3 linked regions of the Danio rerio genome follow. The protein of the gene in region 3 purifies or fractionates together with the protein of the main gene of each other region. This does not show direct contact. Links are inferred from orthologs where the notes say so. Each region holds a gene or a part of one and is shown on either strand. Other genes may lie near its edges. The genes, in order: kat7b, jade3 and ing4.

Region 1 (4,288 bases), on a different chromosome or scaffold from region 3:
TTTTTACCTTGAGAGCTCTGGCTAAGGCGCAGTGATGCTCGGGTCATGCGGGTGTTATTGCGCTGGTTGGCTTCACCGTGAGAGCTGTCGGTCTTCTCATGATCTCCAGAGTCATCCGAATCTGCAGTCCCGTCTGAACTACTGCCCGCAGTTCTCTAAACACAGAGTGGACATTAGCAGTGCTTTATCAGTGTACATGTACAGATCATGAATTAAACAACACTTTAAAATGAGCTAAGCACTGCAGTTGAACAGGGGAAAAGATTATAAACGATTTCGATTGATTACTTGAAGAAATGCAAAGAAACAGCATTACAATTGTTCTACAATGATGTTTAAATGTAAAAAATGATCCATTATTTCATTAAATTTGCACATTTCTAGCACAAAAATATAGTTCAAAAACGATCATTCGTTTTTTTACACTGTTTTTGTAAAAACTGAAAACAGCAAGGGAAAAATGTAATGGTTTATGACTGTTTCTCAACCACGTTCCTGAAGGACCACCAACAATGCATGTTTTGGATGTCTCCTTTGTCTGTCAAACCCATTATAAGTCTCTCAGTCTCTGCTGATGAGCTGATGATTTGAATCAGGTGTGTTTGGTTAAGAAGACATGAAAAATGTGCAGAGCTGGTGGTCTTCCAGGAACGTGGTTGAGAAACACTGGTTTATGGGATTAAGGTAAAGTTGGTTTTAAATTCGCACATTCGTTCAATGACAACTTGTGACTTGGTCCCTATATCGTTTACCATGTTACTTAAACAATATAAGTAATATTTAATTGACTGTTGTACTTAGGCATGGGACGGCATAAGATTTAGATGGTATGAAAACCTTGGATAAATATAGCATGGTTTAACGGTATTGTGATAACTGCTTAGGCTGCTGGGGATACTGTTGTTCTAAAAAGCCTAAAACAAAAGCCAAAAAACTTACATACACCATAGGAACAGTAACATAGACTGACCATATTCTGTACACAACAATGTTCCATATGGATTACCTTTACGTTTTCGTGGCTGTAGCTCTGTCATCGGAACTGTCTGATTGACAGCTGATATGAGCCAATCTATTCGAGTTCTGTTCTAGCGCAGTGGGCCAATAAGAAGAGCTAGAAGGCAGGGCAAGCATTGCAGGCTTTGTTTACTGCAGCAAGTTGACAAGTCACTTGTTTTAAACCATTCCTGAGTGCTGCGTTTGGTGTTTTTAGGTGCAAAGATGCTTAATGCGTGAATGCCTCCTAAATCTGCGCATGTGGTGAATATTTTGTTGTGAAAACTGGTCGAACGTCATCAATTTTATGCATAGATGAAATTTCGGGCACATATGCGACAAAAATGATCGCACTGCGCTTGAAAATAGACAGTGAGGAAGCTAAAGGAGCAAGTGTAACTTAGGAAGGGAGACATTTATGGCCGGTTTTCACGGTCGGAATGGGGTCACTTTAACAAGCTTGCGTTTCTACAGCCAAAAAGGTACCCTTTTAGTGGGAGTGGTGTATGACAAAGTTTCAGATGACATCATTTTTACTAAAGGAAATGTCACAGTAAAGCCATACAGGTCGTTCACAAATATGAGAAGCCCTTCTCACAAAACAGAAGCTTTATACACATAAATACTTCTCTTTAAATGTTTATTACTAACCCTTCTATGAACATGACTTGATTATAACTACAGATCAGTGATAGTGCAAAATAGCCTACTGTAGCGTCTGTAATTATATGTAATAAATAAATAAACACAACATATATGAAAACAAACAGACCTTTACAGTCTCCGATATGTTATCAATTACATAAAAACTACACACAGCATACATTTAGTCCTTATTTGGGTTCAAAAACAACACGAAATATAGCCCAGTCAGACGCAAACCTCTTATATGTGTCTTTAATCTTCAGCAGCACATGTAGCCTCTTGTTAGAAGGTAATTCCGTCATTCCAAATTCATAATAGTCCAATAGGTGATGATACTAGTTAACGTTAAACATGGCAGTTTGTTCATGTTTTAGGTTGCAGATTGGATCATTTGCTGCTGTTTTTTCCAGCTTCTCCTTTGTTAGCAAAAAAATACTTTCCTGAAACTTTATTATTAATGTCTAAATGTGCGATTAATAAAATGAACTTTACCTCAGTATTTATGGGTTTATTTAAGATCAGCTGAAATGGAGATTTATGGCCCTGTAGAGGAGAAACAAAAACATTTTCAGAATAGAATATGTATTGCAACTGAATGTACAAACACACATTTTGATAAAAAGCTTAGAAAATAACACATTAAAAGGGCATAATGGGTGTTTTCTTTACAGTATCATCGTATTCTCGTAGAATTGTATTCTGAATAGCATTAAAAAGCAAAAAAAATCTAAATAGACAGATGGTAAAAGGAAACTTGCAATGTATCTTGCCTTAATGAAATAATAATATTACTTTAAATCTCAAGTGTGTTTTCAACATTAACGTTTGCACATAAAGAAAAAATGCTAACTAGCTTCACTTTTACCTAAAAACGCACCGTTTTCGAAGCCACTTTCTTTGCTTTTCGATTCTTATGCGCTAAAATGTTAACTCAGAACACAATTGAGATAAAAATTGAAACATTTTAATAGAAAACAAACAACATTTGTCTGAACATGTAAACAAACATTGAGCTAGCCGTTAGCGCGCGCTCAGCCGACTGGGCTACTGACCCAGTTCTCGCATTTTCTCTCACCTTCCGCCGCGGCATGTTCCCTCCGATAAATCCAATCGCCGCTTTCTTCACACGTTTGTCAAACGAATTTATTTGTTTTCAGTTATTAGATATAACCCAGCAGCTGCGTGAACACAAGTTTGCCCTTTTCTGTTCTCGCAAATTGTTCACTATCTCGCGACTCGCGCCACACCGGACCGCGGCGGAAGTGACGCAATGACGGAAAACATGGCGGCGCTGAAGCGAGTGAGGGACGTCGTCCATTTAGACCAGTAGGACTCAACAAACATCCATGTTCTGCAAAATAACATTCATTCATTCATTCATTCATTCATTTTCTTTTCGGCTTAGTCCCTTTATTAATCCGGGGCCGCCACAGTGGAATGAACGGCCTGCAAAATAACAAAAAATCTTATTTTATTTGTAAATGACCACATCAAAACAAAATGTATGCTTAGCTGTACCAAATTGTAAACTATTTTTCATTGATCTAAAAACTTTTTGATATTCGTTTCTAAAAACTCTAGAAACTTTTTGTGATTCCCTGAATTTGTTGGCAATCCTATTTAATTTTAATGTTCGAAATTAAGTTTGAATAAAGCATATTTAATGCAATTAAATGTCATATAGCTCGAATGTCCAGATAACCTTTTAGGCAATAACCGTTATCAAAATAAATTAATAAAACAAAATATTTCTTTGGTTAACTAACACCTTCTTCGAAATAAAGATACAGGAGCTGTCGCTGGGGCAGAACCTTTACAAAAAATACATATTAGTACATGAAGGGTCCATAATGGTATGTCAAAGGTACATTTGGGCACTAAAATGCACCCTTGAGGTACCACTATGGACTCTTTGGGTACAAATATGTATCTTTTGAAAAGGTACTGCCCCAGCGACAGCTCCTGTACCGTTATTTCTGAGAGTGTATATGGTTTTTGTAGTAGCCTAAACTGTAGTTATAGAATTGGTTATCAAGTCTAAAAGCATGGTTACTACACCTTTACTTACTATAAAAAAACAGGATTAATTGGCCCATATGGGGATGTAAAGATAAAATGAGATGTTCAACACTAATAAAAATATAAAATGGTTGAGGCTCGAACCAGCAACCTTCTTGCTGTGAGGTGATTGTGCCACCGAGTGCCACCGAGTCACCCTACTTGTGGGTAAATATGTTTTAAATCTGGGCGAGGCAGTGGCGCAGTATAGTGCTGTCACCTCACAGCAAGAAGGTCGCTGGTTCGTACCTCGGCTCAGTTGGCGTTTCTGTGTGGAGTTTGCATGTTCTCCCTGCCTTCATGTGGGTTTCCATTTTCCCCCGGCTCCGGTTTTCCCCCACAGTACAAAGACATGCAGTACAGGTGAATTGGGTAGGCTAAATTGTCCGTAGTGTATGAGTGTGTGTGTGGATGTTTCCCACAGATGGGTTGCGGCTGGAAGGGCATCCGCTGCGTAAATACTTGCTGGATAAGTTGGCGGTTCATTCCGCTGTGGAGACCCTGGATTAATAAAGGGACTAAGCCGACAAGAAAATGAATGAATGAATATATTTTCAATCTATATTTGGCTGTGATATTTGATTTAAAC
Region 2 (3,655 bases), on a different chromosome or scaffold from region 3:
CTTCTCAACACCGTATTTCTGCATGGAACAAAACTGCTGCAACTTAAAGTTATGCCAATGGTGCGCTAGTTTAAAGTTCTGAGCTTGTACACAATACGCACGCACATTGGATCAAAGACTTATTATAACTATGGCTGAGGAGGTTTTTAACTAAGGGCCATTCACATATCCCATCTTTTACACGCATGCAAGTTCGTTATTTCCAATGGAGGCACGTGGTTTGCGTGCATATTAGTGCCTTTCAGACAAGTGTTCAGCAGTCTTTGACTTCATTTGTTCTATTTAAAAGGGAAATACTTAACTAATATGATGCTTAAATTTACATTGGACAAAAACTATTTATTTATTTATTTTTGTTCTGTCATTTATTTTCAGTGTAAAATTACTACTTGTGTTTAAATCCCAAAAGCATTTTTCACTTATTTTTAAGTCCAAAGATAAATGGATTATTTTGTTTATTTTTTGTTATTTTGTGCTGTATTAATTGGTTACTGATAACAATTTAAAATATAAGAAGTTTTCATGTGATTTTCTAAACTAGTATTTTGCAATGAATGACTGCATAATAACTGTGATACACGTAATAATTCCCTAGACTATAATCGTACAACCAAAATCATCCCTTGCACGGTACTGTTACTGTTCGCCTTGTAGCGCTTTGGGTCTGAGAAAAGAACGCTATAAATAAAATGTATTATTATTATAAAAAATGTAGCTATAATGAAAGTTAATGGGGCAAAAACAGCCACAATCACAAAAAAAAGGATAATAAACGTGCCCAAAATGTATTGTTGATATAGGTTTTTGAAACTTTTCAAAGCATTTCCCCAAAATATGTGTCAAAATAAGATTCATCACCAAACATCATTCCATTGGCCACAACTTCAATGGACTGACAGTTTCAATTAACTATAATCTTTTATGTGAAGCTGCTTTGAATCAATCTACATTGTAAAAGTGCTAAAGAAATAAAGATGAATGTAATTGAACTTTCTCTGTGTTTCAGCAAAATTAACACTCAAAATCACCTCAGAGTGGATGAAAACATCCCCAACAGCACACAAGGGTTAAATGCACTGTAAGTAAACTACAAAACAACAAATCAACAAATATAAATACAAGTTAGTTGTTACCTGCAGACAACTCTTGGTTGACAAGCTTAACGTGTAGATTGAAAATCTGTTCTTGAGCTTTACTCTGGGACAGCTTCAGTTTCTCTCTTCGACTCACCATGTAGCACAAGTTTCTCACCTGACAACATGACACAGAAATATGCATAAAGATCATAATGTTCAAAAAAAAAAAACATTGATGGTTTAAAATATAGAATTATAACCATACAATACTATTAATGCTTCAAATACACACATTTATTTTGTATATACATGATTATTTGCTTAGATTTACTGATTTACTGACAACTTATTTTTGAAGTAGACTGCTCATTTGGTATCTTAACAAGTTGCAATGAGTATTATTAAACAAAAAGAATGATAAAAAAAATAATTATTAAAAATAAAAATCTATTATTATTAATAATAACTGTATATTAAAATGAAAAAAGACATTTATTTAGCAATTAATTTATTTTATTTAGCAATTTAGCGTTTTATTGATAAAACTAGCATCCATGGTTGGAAAGCGAATTATATTTATTAACCAGTTTTTGTTTGGAAAAATAATCGAGTCAATGGCTCAAAAATCTAGTGATCCAAATCTTGAGTTTTGTAAAAGCACTAAGAAATGTTTCCTCATCAGCACATTAGAAGCTTCCTGCTTCATGAATGATTTCTGATAAATAATGCGACACTGAAAACTGAAGTAATGCCTTCTGAAAACAGCAGTGTCATTAAAGGAAAACCTGTAAATACACCAAATGTTCTAAATGTAATATAATAATAGAAGTTGTAATATAATTCACAAAATTTAGTCCAAATACACAGTAGTGTAGATAAATGGTCATGATTATTCTGGCGTAATAATCAATGAACTAGAGCTGCCATACCAGGGAGTTATGCAAGGAGGCGCAATGACATAATGAAGATAGTCCCCAACTAGGTAACTAGTAGGGGTGGGTGATCTTTTTAAAAAGATTTTCTTTAGGTTTTCGGAGAAATGGAGACCAGAGGAAAGCATCGCATGTGTAAAAAAAAAATTAAAAATTTTTCATTCAAACAATTTGATGTAAAATACACGCTCAAGTTTAGGGCTGTGCAATTTGGGGAAAATATCTAATGGCAATTTTTTTTTTTGACAGATACTGCGATTTCAATTTGCGATTCAACTTTGTAGTCAAGCTTCAGCTCAATATTTTGTAGCATAGCTACTTACTGCTAAAATGCAGTGACTGTTAGTGAAAAGGGAACTGAAACGATATTCACCAACTTCAACTTTTATTCAAAACTGTTTATAATATTCAGAAATGAAACACTAATTTTTCTCTACAGCAGACAGTAGTGAGTTATGGTGTTAGTTATCTCCTGGTGCCTTCATGATGTTTTTTCATATGGTGTAACAGCTGCACACAACTCTGAAATTGTACTTTGCTGTTGCTTGCTACTAGATTGAGCGTAACTGGCAATACTTTTAGTTGAGTTTTTAGCAAGACACTCTTCATGTAGCCGTCTGTGGTGCTTTTTTAGGTGCTGGTTGTTGTATTTCCTCAAGCTGTGGCAACAATTCTGCGACATCTCTTACAAATGACCTGTTTTATGATTCCCATATTAGCTTTGTGCTGTTTTTCTTTGACATTAATTCGTCTATTAATGCTTCTGAAGCGGCAGACGGCGTCATCCCACTTGTCCGTGCGGTCCTGTTTGTTTGTTTTTATTGTGGGCTTTCCGCATAGTTCTGTTGCGCAACTCTGATTGGGCAGAATGAAAGTGTGCTCACTCAATTGGGTAGTAAGACCATCACACACAGACGGCAGTCACGCATTCTCTTTGGGTGGGGGAAATAAATTATACACATTTCATATCGCTGCCCCTTGTGTTAGCTAATTGCAACATTTCAAATCACAAATACGATTCGATTTCGATTAATTGCACAGCCCCACTCGAGTTAATTGAGAAAATGGATTTATTGCCCTGCCATAGTAACTACGTAATGTTACTGGGTAATATCATTGCACCTGCTGCAACCATGGTACGGCAGTAAAGTTCCCTGACTATTACACTCCTATAATTCCGAGCCGTATCAGCCTAGAAAACAGCAAACTTGAATTTCTGTCAGTCTTAGCACACAATGTTACTATAGAAGTGTCAATCTTTAAATTAAAAATTATCAAAACTTTTTTTGCCATTTTTGACCGAGATGCTAATGGTCTAATTCGATGGAATGATCTATGGTAAGCTAAGATAAAAGTGCTCTTGACAGAGCTGAATATCATCTGAATGGGTTCAAAAATGGTACTAAAAACTTTCTAGATGATTTGTAAAATGAAACTATTTAAAAAGAAAAGTGAAGTTTTCTTTTAAAAGTCAAACAAACGCACAAAAACAGCAAAAACACTGCTAAACAATGTGACTCAGGCTTCAAAACCCTCACCCTCTCCAGGTCCTGGCGCAGGTGCATAAACATGCGCATGCGTGTATGAATGCTGTCCTCCTGTGGCTGCAGCAGAAGGTTCTCCTCATCTTCTTTAGGTGGCAGCAGG
Region 3 (4,292 bases):
CATTTACCCACCTTTTTGACATTATTTTTTTTTTGTTGGAAATATATAAAAAGATAAAACCTATAACCATTGACTTCCATGGTATTTGTATCTATAGATATCAGTAGTTACAGGAGTTCATGAGAGTAAGAGTGAAATGATTTTGTTCGGCCCGTCAAACTCTTCCAGAGCCCCAATGGTTAATCTAGAAAAATTAAGTTTTTTTATGAAGCCCTGGATAAAATATCAAGGTGTAATTCTGGATGATGGCTTAAGATTTGACAAACAGTTAAATGCAGTGGTCATTTCCTGCTTTTTTCAGCTTCAACTTTTAAAAACTGTCAAATTTATTTTATCTAGAAAAAAGTTTGGAAAAAAATAATCCATGCTTTTATTACTACTAGAATGGACTATTGTAATCCTGGTTACAATTAGTATAAAATGTTGCTGCAAGGCTTTTAACAGGTACCAAGAAACATGACACACAACACGCATTACACCAGTTTTACGCTCTTTGCACTGGCTGCCTGTGCACTATAGAGTAACTTTTAAAATGCTTCTCTCGGTTGTTAAATCTCTAAATGGCCTGGCAACTTCTTATCTGTCAGACATGTTAATTGAGCATCAGCCTGGTCTGTCTCTTCGGTCTTCTAACCAGAAACTGTTGTGCATACCTGGGTCAAGGCTGAAATGCAGAGGTGACCGTGCCTTCGCAGTAGCTGGTTCTAGGTTGTCCTACAGCACAACACGACATGTTTGCTATTGCAACCGGTCTTTTTTTGCAACTGGTATGCGTGGTTGAACCTGTGTGACATCATGTGTGATGTAGGTTGGTAATTCCCCCATACATTCTTCTGTTTAATGTCATCATCTGAAATGTCTTCCTACTGCCGAAGTTATATCTTGTCATCGTATACTTGATTTATGTTCACTAATTCGCAATTTCAAATAACGTGATGACTTCCCTTTATATATATATATATATATATATATATATATATATATATATATATATATATATATATATATATATATGTATATAATAATGCAGTTTTTTGTTTTATTATTTTTACCTGTTACTTGATTCTAAAATTCTTTATACTTTACTAGATTCTGACATGCGGCACAATTTCTGCATGGAAAACAAACTTGTATAAAAGTAGATTTATTATTTCTTACTAAATCTGAATTATCATCATATCTGATAAATTTTGGGGATTTTTTAAAAGTAAATAAAAAATATAGAGTAAATAGTGAGTACATTTAATTTTTTGGTGAATTATCACTTAAACAAATAGAAGAATAGAAAAAATAGTTAAAAAAACTAAAAAGATAATAGAAATAAAAATGACAACCTACAAAATATCAACAAAATTTAAATTATTATTATTTTTTGCTTCTCTTAAAATTTGTCAAATTTGCATTTAATATTTTTTTTATAACATATCAATTTGGGTGTACTAGTTTTTGGAGCATGATCATAAGTTATTTTGTTAAATGAGTTCCAGGTTTGGCTTCAGTACTGATAATCTAATCTGTATATACACAAATATAATATTGTATAGCTTTCTATTAAAAATAAGAATTTAAAAGAGAGATTTGAGAAGTGTACTTGTATATGCTGAGCACTGTATATATATATCTACTTTTTTTTCTATTTAGCAAAGAGCAAATGCAGATTTTCACTAACCATCTCATAGGTTTGCATCGCAAGCTGCACCTTGTCATCTCCGAACTCTTTGCACTTCCCATAAGACTGCTGGATCTGTCTTAACAGCGAGAGCTTCTGTTCAGATGACAGTGTCCGAGCATTAGCGGTGTATTCACGAGCCAGAGAATCAATCTGCCCTTTCAGATCTGCAGAAACAAGAGATGTAAACAAACAACCATTTAAAAGAGATGTACCATTTTATAGAAGAAATAATAGAGTCAGGAAATAAAGTAACAGCACGCATTATAAAAGATATTACTACACCGACTCACCCTCTGTCCTCTGGTCCAGATCTCGCATCAGCTGGAAGTTTCTTTGCAGCTCAAATGGCAGATTCTCGATGCCTAAATAGATCAAGTGACATATGAGTCTTCAGCACCACCATGAAGATTCAGGTAAAATTGGCTTTATATTCTCACATTTATACTTTGGAGTCCAAGAAAATAGTGAAGCAGAAATTAAAAAGGCTAATGCAGATTCGTTATAATGACAAATTGTTATAAACACAACGTGACTACTTGTTGTGACACAGTAGCTATATTGTTTACCAGCCTACTTTAAATATTTAGTCTGAATTCGCATGTAAATATGACTTTAAAACAACATTAGCACTAATTTACTGACTGTAAATAATGTACTTTGATAGTAACTGGCTGCTAATTTTATATCCTTATTTAAAATTAGCAAATAATACTTTTTTGAAACTATATTAATGAGGTAAAAGTCCAAATGTGCTAAAATAAAACCAACTTTACACCAATAACACAAAGCATCTAAGACCCACAATTCTGTGTACATTTTAAAAATGGCACTAAATAAACTATTTGTTATCTCGACAGGGCTAAACACTTTATTTGAAGCTTAACAATGTGCTCCAGGGTTTATTTATGTTTATCATTTCAATACATTAATAGTAGAAACATCACATCCTGTCACAGTAACACTACAATTAAGCGATAAACCGTCGCTGACATCATAACACTGTTCATAGCCTGTTAGCAGAAGCTACTGATCGCAATAACGCGTAATAAAGCGCTGCTTTGTCTCGTTACGTGGTCGTTTTTATAGTAAATGGCGTGTGTATGTGAAACTTGCAGGCATGCTTGACAATCTAAACACGGACGATGTTTATTTGTGGGGATAAATATCAAAATGAAGACAATAGTCTTACTGTCCAAATAGTGCTCTAGATACATTCCAGCCGCCATCTTGACAAACACAAACAAAGGTTCTTCCGGTTTTGCCGGAAGTTCTCGGGGGCCATGCTCATGAGGAGGAGGGGTCCTGAATGGGGTGTCTGTTGACCCCTTTCATGTCATTTATCTGCTTTGAAGGTGTCTTGAAACGGAATGACTAAACTGCTCCTTGGATGTTCAAAGATAAAAAGGTGAGAATATATTGAGGGATTTATTTTGGGGTGGTTGAAATGCTAAATTACATGACAGTATCTCAAATTTTGAAACAATTTTGACTTAATTTAGCATCACAATACATTTTATGAATAGCTTTGCTCGACTTATTTTTATTTTTTTGCCATTTCATCTGAATTTCAACATTGTGAAGTGTAGTCAAATTAAGCTTTTTAAGAAAAACTGAAACAAATGAAGCTTTTATTTTGTCCCTTAAACAATATTATCGAAAAAGTTGCTATTTAACATAGACACCATTTTCCCTCACAAAATGAAACAGTCTATAAAATGATTTATTTTTATTTTAAAAAAATTTTTGGACACAATGTTTGTGAGTTAACTTTTTAAAATATATTTTAGATCACGCCTTACAGAAAGAAGGTTGCTGGTTCGAGTCCCGGCTGGGTCAGTTGGCATTTCTGCGTGGAGTTTGCATGTGAAGAGTTTAGATACAAAAACCTCTAAATGCCATTTGATATGTACTTCTAAAATAGCATTTTCTCCTGTGTGTAGGTTCAGTCATTTTGACTACAAATAAGTTATTTTCTTTGCCTTTACAGTGAAATAACTGAACATAATTCCAGGAGGCTTTTAAAAAATGCTTATTTTTGGACAAAATATCAGGTGTAATTTATAGGTTTTTGCATCTGAAGTCTTCATGTCCTCTTCGGGTTTCCTCCAAGTGCTCCAGAGTCCAAAGACATGCGCTACAGGTGAATTGGGTAAGCAAAACTGTCTGTAGTGTATGTGCGTAAGTCCTGGTCCTCCAGGTTTGGGGGTTGAGCGTTGCCCTAACAACTCATCTTGTAAAAATTAGATGTCACAAAACACCAACATGATGCTAAACATCAACTTCGATATAAACGGCCCGGGGAGTAAGTATCACATAGGACTTTAATAGGATAGTTCACCCAATGGGAGATCTTTTTGAAGAATGTTGTAAACCGGTATCCGTTGTGAATAAATACTGTGAAAGTCAGTGTCTACCAATTTTTTTCCATTGTGTACAGCAAAAAAAAAAAAAAAGTTTTGGAACCACCCGAGGGTGAGTAAATGATCAGTAAGCCAGGTAAACTTTAGGTGGACTATCCCTAATATAATTCAAGCCTAACAGAAATTTAAAACAATTTGCCAAAATTATCTTGTTTTATTTATTTTTTCTTCAGCAGGCAAACGCCTAAATTAACTTTGGT

The links.
Region 1: the proteins of ing4 (region 3) and kat7b purify together in Homo sapiens (affinity purification with western blotting; 6 studies listed by BioGRID and IntAct, with this or other methods). This does not show direct contact. The link is inferred for Danio rerio from reciprocal best matches to the Homo sapiens genes ING4 and KAT7.
Region 2: the proteins of ing4 (region 3) and jade3 purify together in Homo sapiens (affinity purification with mass spectrometry; 3 studies listed by BioGRID and IntAct, with this or other methods). This does not show direct contact. The link is inferred for Danio rerio from reciprocal best matches to the Homo sapiens genes ING4 and JADE3.

Annotation. Positions count from the first base shown.
Region 1 is NC_133187.1:6,548,153-6,552,440, forward strand, and holds the start of kat7b (histone acetyltransferase KAT7), read right to left. Parts: upstream 2,861-4,288; 5' UTR 2,732-2,860; coding exon 2,717-2,731; intron 2,185-2,716; coding exon 2,134-2,184; intron 156-2,133; coding exon 8-155; intron 1-7. UniProt on the Homo sapiens protein: Catalytic subunit of histone acetyltransferase HBO1 complexes, which specifically mediate acetylation of histone H3 at 'Lys-14' (H3K14ac), thereby regulating various processes, such as gene transcription, protein ubiquitination, immune regulation, stem cell pluripotent and self-renewal maintenance and embryonic development.
Region 2 is NC_133181.1:40,040,068-40,043,722, forward strand, and holds part of jade3 (protein Jade-3), read right to left. Parts: coding exon 3,547-3,655; intron 1,252-3,546; coding exon 1,134-1,251; intron 1-1,133. UniProt on the Homo sapiens protein: Scaffold subunit of some HBO1 complexes, which have a histone H4 acetyltransferase activity.
Region 3 is NC_133194.1:10,614,001-10,618,292, forward strand, and holds the start of ing4 (inhibitor of growth protein 4), read right to left. Parts: upstream 2,927-4,292; 5' UTR 2,899-2,926; coding exon 2,862-2,898; intron 2,035-2,861; coding exon 1,963-2,034; intron 1,837-1,962; coding exon 1,670-1,836; intron 1-1,669. Other genes in the region: uncharacterized protein fam131ba, read left to right, coding at 3,060-3,077, 3,460-3,504, 3,737-3,821.